Bombyx mori: one gene and its partner. The protein of the gene in region 2 purifies or fractionates together with the protein of the main gene of each other region. This does not show direct contact. Links are inferred from orthologs where the notes say so. Each region holds a gene or a part of one and is shown on either strand. Other genes may lie near its edges. The genes, in order: SWI/SNF-related matrix-associated actin-dependent regulator of chromatin subfamily B member 1-A and protein SSXT.

Region 1 (4,382 bases), on a different chromosome or scaffold from region 2:
TATTCCTAAATTTATGTAAGGGTTGTGCTAAAAGAACAATATAGAATGAAAACGATAAAACATTAAAAATATTTTAACCAAATTTGCAGGGCGCATTGGAACTGTTCTGTGATCCAAGACAGTTGGACAAGGTCCTCCTGATCTTCAACACTTACTGCAGACCAACAATTTTCATTAAGCATGATTAAAGAACTTTATAAAGAATAGTTATAGTTAAAGATATAAGAAAATGTTATTATATATTTTCAATTGACAGTCGATACAATTCACAGTAAATACAGCCAATCTATTTATAATTTGGTAGACAGCAATTACACATTCTATTATTCAAATACTTTCTGAAATCAAAAATTGAGAATAAACAACCAGAATTGGTAACAAATGCAGTTAAACATACCATTTTTATTCCATGTAAATGTATCCCTGAGTTTTTGACCCTCAATCTCCATGTCCAATCGAATCGGTACAAGCACCTGCTTTTGCGAAGCATTCTCCAGCATTGCAGTCATGTCTGTGTCATCGAAACACAGTGGGAATGTTCTCACCTGAAAAGTATTCATTTTATGCTAGTTTTAATAATGATACTTTAGAACTATAGTATATTACATTAATTCCAATGTTCCATTTCAAAATCTGTTATTTATCTTACGATGTGTCTCTGATTTTGAGATATTCTATCTATCTTATCTATCTATCCTGAATCAGAAGCTAAATTAAATGTGTTGTGTTGACCTTAGAGTGTGGCCCCATGTCAAACATGATTAACTAGATAAACCTAGGAGTCAGAACCTGAAGCCCAACTGGACTTTAAGTTTTGACTTTAACATCCATTTTACCTTCTTATTATGCACCCTACTCCTGCTGATTGGAGTAGCCTGGGGTACAGCATCCAAATGAGAAGAGTTTGGCATGACTGGCAGCCATGATGGAGTGTGTGGCTTCTTGCTTTTGCTCTCACGGGGTGTCGCCAACTCTTGGCTGACGGACACTGCTTTGTATCTATAAATTAATTTAAAGCTGTGTCATAGCTGTAAATAGTTTAATGGACAACTGCTGTTTCATATACAATTCATAGTATTTAAGATTTCCTTGATATGCACACAGCAACTGACCAGAACCGATGGAGACTGGCACAGCTGAAACAGAGTCACAATCCTCAGCAATGAGGGAGCGATGAAGAAGAAAGATATGCACACATTTTGTTTTTTTTTTTATTGTCCTTAAAATAAGACAAACATACAATTCTTCTGATGGTAAGTGGTTAATGTCGTTCGTGGACTTCAATAGTGCCAGGTGCTCACCAAAACTTAAAGGTCTAATATTTCGACTGACTACTTCAGGTAGCTTCACTTATCATCAGATGGATTATGAACTCGTTCACCTGTCTATGCTAACACAGCAATTGTCGGTTTTAACCGCTTTCAATAGTTCACAAAATGTTTATAATGACGTACTTATCATCATTCCCTTCAATAATGTCTTCAACTTCTGACGCCTTCAACAGTGAAACTGAACTGGACAGCACATGAGGACCAAGACCGTTGTCAATTAATCGCTTACGTTCTTCATTGGTGAGGGTACGCCGGCACATGCCAGGGTACTTCTTGTAGAGTGACCCACGGAACAAGCGCAGGTAATTCCCGACCTAAGGCAATAGTTAATTTTTTTGCATTTTTAAGCGGGCATAAGACTAATCAAAATACAAAATCTGGAAATCTCAAGTTAAAACTGCTGTTTTCGACACCACAATATAATTTTGCATTGCTTTTAATTAAAACCACTGTTATTGTTTAATCATTTAAATTTTTTGTCATAACAATTTACAGTAGTTAGAACAGTGTTAATATGCCATGAAAAATGATAATGAAATGAATATAATAAATATGAAATTAGACCTTTTTTTATACAATTCAGAAACACTGAAGAAAATACATCATTGCTCATCTAAAAAAATAAGAGCAGAAACAGCATTGGGTGCCACAACTTGTTTTAATTTGCACTGCAAGCAATCACTGTCGTTTACTTATTCAATATAATTCATAATGGCGCTTTAGAAAGTTCTACTGTAGAATAGAAGATTATAGTGAGAAACTTCACATGAACACTGAATTATGCAACTAGATACAGAAAAAAGATAAAAAGTACAGTATGGTATCTTAAGCCAGTAGTTAAAATGGACTGGTAAACTTTCATGATTTGTATCTCTTTAACTAAAATCTTAGGTTTCTTAGCTAATGATGTTATTGTACATGTATATGTATTTGGGATTTTGTTAAATATGGATCTGTTTACTGGATTACTTACTCGATTATTGCTAAGAAAATGAGTTTTAAAGAATTGTCATTAAAGGGCAACATAATTATTACAGCTCAGTTTTGCCTTCTACAGAAATTCCTTAGTTATTTTATCTCCAAAATTTGTATTCCATTTTCATAAGGGTGATATAGACCTATTGTTCTATTTTTTATCTTATACTTTGATGGACAATAAACTATAGTCTGCTTTACAGTAATGGAAACCAAGCCTCATCGAAATAAGAATAATTCTAAAAGGCAAGTTTGTATAATAGACCAGATTGAGGTTAGGAACGATGTTCTTCGACAAAAGAAAGACTAGCTCCGTTAGTGAATGAAATAATTTTTAATAACGTATCTTTAAAATTATGTTTCGAGTAGTTCGATGTATTTTTAATCAAGAAATGTATGGAACTTACCTCTGAGCCAACACAATAAAAGTCTCCTCCTTCTTCGATTTGAAAACTTATCGGCTTATCGCCGTACGTACGTAAGGCCATTTTTGTAGTTGTGTTGTTCCTTTGATAAAATAATTACATTTACTTCAAGAATTGTAATGTTAATTTGGTAAGGGTAAAATTTATAAATCGTTTCTGTGAATATGTATATATGTATCCAATTATTTTTTTAATTTTATGACCTGGTAACGTACACCTTTAAGTCATATATTATTTTGGAAAGCTACTGGACGTAACTTCTTGGGATTCACCCAAAAGTCCACTGAAAAAATCTCAGTGAATGACCATCATTTTACTGAGATTATATTTCATCCCGTCTCATCTTATTTCCTTTAATTTCATCCCAGTTGATCCCTTTAATATATGTCTCAAATATTAATTTAAATTAATTTGAGACATTCTTGACATCTTCATTTCATTTCATTTCATTTCACTCCATATTATCAGTTTTCATAAAAATAAGAATATAAATTATAATAAGATATAAATTAGAATAAGAAGATTAAAATAAGATAATGACTTAAAGGTCTAGGCTACCAAGTCATAAAATAAAAAAACATTTTATTTGATTTTTTTTAAGAGATTTTATGACCTGGTATCTAAGACCTTTAAGTCATGTCTTATTTTACTTTATATTCTTAATTTTATGAAAAATGATAATATGGAGTGAAATGAAATGAAGATGATTAATTTGAGACATTAATCAACTGGGATGAAATTTAATGAAATGAGATGATATGGGATGAAATACAATCGTAGTAAAATGGTGGTCATTTACTGAGATTTTTTCAATGGACTTTTTGGAGGGACCCGAGAAGTTACGTCCAGCAGCTTTGTTTCATTTTCCCACATTTGTGCACTTTCACAGATATTAAACAGTTAATAAACCACCGTTATTACACATTTAAACCTGAAGAAACACTAAATAGACAAAATAAAACAAATCACACAACTTCACTCCTCGCGTTCCCGCCAAAAAGTCCTATTTTAATTGATTTTTTTTTTTTTAAGAGATTTTATGACCTGGTAACTAAGACCTTTAAGTCATGTCTTATTTTACTTTATAGTCTTAATTTTATGAAAAATGATAATATGGAGTGAAATGAAATGAAGATGATTAATTTGAGACATTAATCAACTGGGATGAATTTAATGAAATGAGATGATATGGGATGAAATATAATCGCAGTAAAATGGTGGTCATTTACTGAGATTTTTTCAGTGGACTTTTTGGAGGAACCCGAGAAGTTACGTCCAGCAGCTTTGTTTCATTTTCCCACATTTGTGCACTTTCACAGATATTAAACAGTTAATAAACCACCGTTATTACACATTTAAACCTGAAGAAACACTAAATAGACAAAATAAAACAAATCACACAACTTCACTCCTCGCGTTCCCGCCAAAAAGTAATTTAGTTCATAGACTATACACAAACACATATTGTTAGCATAGAGTATGATTGTATATAACTAATATAACCTAAATTTTTAGTCTGAAATTAAATGTCGTAGGGGAGTGTCGTCGCAGTCGTTGCGAATTTCAAAAGTGCTCGAAAAAAGAGACCATGTCTTCACGGCAAGGAACATTCAAAAACCCATTCTCCAGACCGTGGATGTCGGAGACAGGT
Region 2 (4,368 bases):
CCTTTGGGTTTTTTTATGTTTCATGGGGTGTACGTAATGTGAGATATTTGGTTCAGGTGATCCTACCATCTACTTTTTACTACCTACCATGACATTATATGAACTCCCAGCATAATTTTCCTGAAGAAGAGTTCTTGTTCAAATGTGGTTTGTTATGAGTCCTGAGCGGTAGTCTTGGCTACGCTGAGTTGGCATTAACGACGGTAACTTTACCCTCATGTGGGCCGTTATAAATCCTAGTTCAATAAAACCAACTTTGATAATGCAAAATTTTTTCTAATTAATAACTTTCAGTACTGTAACATATCTACAAATTATTCTAATTAATCCAATTCAATGACTGTTCCTTGATAGCATGCGATGGATTTAAAAATATAATTGTTACAAAAATCACAAGTCTTTAAATTAATGATGATGTAACATAGTGATGATCATTGATATCAAACAGCCCCAAATTTTTGCATTAAGTGAATTCAAAGAGCTGATAAAGTTATTTGATCAATTTTGATCCTTGTATTATTTCAATTGTTCATTTTAGTAGGATACTGTAACGAATTAGTTATTGTAGTATGTAAAATTTTTGAATTAAAACAAAATATCACTCACTATATTTTATTTTCAAATTATTAGAATGTAGAAGTACACTTTAATAGGTTTTGGGGTTTAAACCTAAGCATATTTATTATAAGGTTTTAAAAATATGCAAATCATTGCTGGGCAGGAGGTTGGAATCCATAACCTGGGTACGGTTGTGGATTACCAGGAGGTGGAGCACCAGGAGCGGGTGCTCGTGTGTAAGGATAAGGGGAGGGTGGATACTGTGCTGGTGGATATCCCTGTTGATATGCATGCGGTGGATACGCACCTCCAGCTGGTGGATAATTTTGAGGTGTTTGAGCATAGGAAGTAGGAGGTGGAGCAGTGGATACTGAAGGAGCTGGACTCCCAGGTTGCGAGGAAGGGTTTGAATAAGGTTGTGTAACAGGTGTATAAGGTGATGGTTGTGAAGGAGCCTGATATTGTTGTCCAGTAGGACCACTTGGTGTTTGTCCACCAGATGAGGCAGTTGTAAGGACACTACTTCCATGGGGACTAGTATTATAGGTTGGTGACTGGGCAGATGGTGATCCATAAGTGGAACTTGTAGGATTCTGTTGAGAATAATTGTTTGGGGGTTGAGGAGAACGGTTAGGCTGAGAAGTTGATGTTGAACTATATGCAGATGTTGGAGTTGTATTTGGAAATGGTTGTGACTGGTATGGTTGTGGTGGTTGAGCAGTTGAATTATAAGTACTTACACCAACATTAGAATAATTTGAGCCAGCTTGACCTGGAGGATATGTGGAATTTCCAGTGTATGGTGGTTGAGATGAGCCACGCACAGGATATGGAGCACCAGCTGAAACTGGGCTACCAGAAGGTGGTGCATAAGGTTGTTGAGACGAAGAAGGTGGATAGTTAGATCCTGGATGAGTAGATGGTGGATAGTTATTTGGAGTTGTTGTAATTGGTGGACCATAATTAGAGTTCGGAGGATAGCCTTGGGGTTGGGATGGATTAGGTGGAGCATATCCTTGATTATTAGAGCCATATCCCGTTTGTGGAGGGTACCCTCCAGGTGCATTCTGATACTGGCCTTGATATTGACCTTGACCATAAGGTCTTTGAGCATATGATTGAGTTGGTCTTGTTGGTGTTGAACTAACACTTGAAGGTTGTCTGTAGGCTTGTTGACCACCAGCAGATGCATCAGTTGCATTGGTTGGGGGATTTATAGGTGGAGATTGAGATACATTTCCGGTGGCTAATTGATGAGGAGGCTGAAAGTAAAAAAAACAACTAATTCTATATATTCTTTCAGTACAAAATAACTTTTAAGTAGAATATCTCATCAGATAAGCCCTTTGATGAACCAAACCATATAATCATGGAATGGAACAGGCTGCCAGAAGTTGTATCAGCACCTAAATTGAACTACTTTGTGAACAAGCTAGACTAATTATCCTAATTTCAAGATACACAAATCATCTCTAGTGTTTAACATAATGAAAATTAATAGATTATTTTGCTTTATTTGATTCCTTTCTGTCACTTTCTCTCAACTAATCAGAATTTTTCCATTTCAAACAAACATAAATTTTATTGTTTTAAATAATGTCTCCACTGAAAATAAAGTCCAAAAATCCACGTTCATTCCGGTTTGAAGGGTGACGCCTTCGTTATGTTAAAGGAGTCCGCTAAACACCAGGTTGGCCATGCCATGTATGTCTTAATGAAGTAATAAAAAAATGTTACCGGTAAAATGCTCTGTATATTTTGGTTAGCGTCAGCTACAGATGCGAGATAAACCAAGTTCCTGTGCAGTATTTGCTGATATTGGTGACATTCCATTATTTGCCCTTTTGCTTGGTATTCTTGTATTGTTTGTATTAGATGAGCATTTTCATCCAACATTTTTTGTATTTGTGCCGGACTTAAAGGAGGACGATTTCCTCGTGCCGCAAACGCTACAGACATTGTGTAATTTAAAATATTGCTATTATTCCTCTATTACATAGCACTTCAGGTAGAAAATTCATAGATTTTTAATTTACTTGATTTTATTTTTTGTTTGATTTGTTCAGAAATTGGACAAACCAAAGAGTTTAATAGCAGAGTAGGGGCAGAGGGAACATAGGCTATACGAAAGTTAGATGCAAAAGCTAAAGCACTGAAAAATAAAATAAATCATAACGCAAGAATTATCTTTATTTTTGATTGAAATTGTATAAAGAGAATTGAATAAAATAAACTAATTAAATTAATTTGTCGGCTAAATAGGAGTAATTTGCTGAGACTTTTAGAAAAGCTACTTGTGGTAGGGCGTGTTTTGAGTCCGTACGAGTTAGTAACATTATTCTTTAATGTCGTAAGATTCATTCTATATACTATCATTGTGTAAAATTGCACAAATGCTTATTACGGAAAACAAATCGAAAGATGAAGTTTGTCGGGTTCTACAAAAAAACCATGTGACAATTTATTTAGTAACTAAATTTAGAACAGTGTAATCAGAAGCTTCTAAATTTGCTTCTGAATTCAGTCGACTAAATTTAGCCAGTGTAATAAGCCTTTAACCTTTGTCTCAAAATCAATTTCATTTCATTCACAATTTCGTCTTTTTTTCTCTCCTAACTATTCACTGGGATATTAAGAGGCTATTCCAGCTACACCCGGACGGGTAAGTGAGCTCCCGAACTCATCGTCGTAATCGACGAGCTCTGTGACCGATGCTTCAGGGTCCTAAAAGTACCGAGAGTCAATCCGGGGGATCCGAAAAGACATATTTCGGGCAACGGCGCCTTGCGTTGCCCAGTCGCGGTCGGATAAGTAATTAGCGGCGGCCACGATAAGAGGGTTATCGGATCGCCCCGCTTTGACGAAGTAGCGTTCTGGCGCTTCCGTAAGATGCTTACGAATCGGTATTAGATTCAGGTCATCGTGAAGATCTACGTTCCTCATATGCTACGGTTCTCTGACGGCTATCCTTAAGAAACGGGGTTTTATTACATGGAAAGGGTTAATGTGTGTACGGGCCGCGTGAGCAAACACTACACTTGCATAGGTCGTGACAGAACGTATGCAAGTTTTGTAGAGTAATACTTTGTTATGAAGGCACAATTTTTACTTCGCTTGCAGGTCATGGGGTAGAAGAACGCGGGTCGGTCGCGTACTGACTTAATGTGGGACCCGAATGTCATCCCCCTGTCGAAAGTGACGCTTTAGTAGTTAGCTTTCGAAGTCCACGGTATGGGCTGGCCAAGGATTTTAATAGCGGAAATGAAGTTACCGCGCCTAATTGGTGATAAGATACTAGCAGTAGTCTCGGGAGGACGACCCCTTTTGGAGAGCACGGCTGTGATTTTTGTGTGGTTGATATCAATGCACCAATGTGCCACTTCCGGAACCACTATCCTAAATTGGTGGCCACGATTTGGAGTTTACTATGCATGAACGACATCTTCCTACTCGTGTAAATCGGGCGGGCGACCGAGGTGTATCGTCAATAAACAGGCTAAACAGTAGCGGGGAGAGAACGGAGCCTTACGGGACTCCGGCCGAGATATGTCGCGGGAGAGAGCGAGTTTCCTCGACTCGATATTGAAACGAACGGTTTGACAACTCAAGTCTCGACAAGTTAAGACAAGTCTCGTACGATGAGCACGAGACTGTCTGGCATGACCATGTTAAACAATTCGTAAATTAAGCCGTTGTGCCAGACTTTGTCGAACGCCTTCACGATATCGATGAAGAGGGCTCCCGTGGTGACGGGCCTGCATCTATTTAGCCCTACTAAGATGTCCTCCGCGAGGCGGTGCACTTGCTGAA

The links.
Region 1: the proteins of protein SSXT (region 2) and SWI/SNF-related matrix-associated actin-dependent regulator of chromatin subfamily B member 1-A purify together in Homo sapiens (affinity purification with mass spectrometry; 9 studies listed by BioGRID and IntAct, counting the BioPlex papers as one, with this or other methods). This does not show direct contact. The link is inferred for Bombyx mori from reciprocal best matches to the Homo sapiens genes SS18 and SMARCB1.

The regions. Positions count from the first base shown.
Region 1 is NC_085122.1:12,051,035-12,055,416, forward strand, and holds the start of SWI/SNF-related matrix-associated actin-dependent regulator of chromatin subfamily B member 1-A, read right to left. Parts: upstream 2,970-4,382; 5' UTR 2,795-2,969; coding exon 2,714-2,794; intron 1,646-2,713; coding exon 1,455-1,645; intron 1,000-1,454; coding exon 837-999; intron 546-836; coding exon 398-545; intron 1-397. Other genes in the region: putative tricarboxylate transport protein, mitochondrial, read left to right, coding at 4,320-4,382.
Region 2 is NC_085110.1:12,910,814-12,915,181, reverse strand, and holds protein SSXT, read right to left. Parts: upstream 2,833-4,368; 5' UTR 2,518-2,832; coding exon 2,296-2,517; intron 1,821-2,295; coding exon 708-1,820; 3' UTR 599-707; downstream 1-598. UniProt on the Homo sapiens protein: Appears to function synergistically with RBM14 as a transcriptional coactivator. Isoform 1 and isoform 2 function in nuclear receptor coactivation. Isoform 1 and isoform 2 function in general transcriptional coactivation.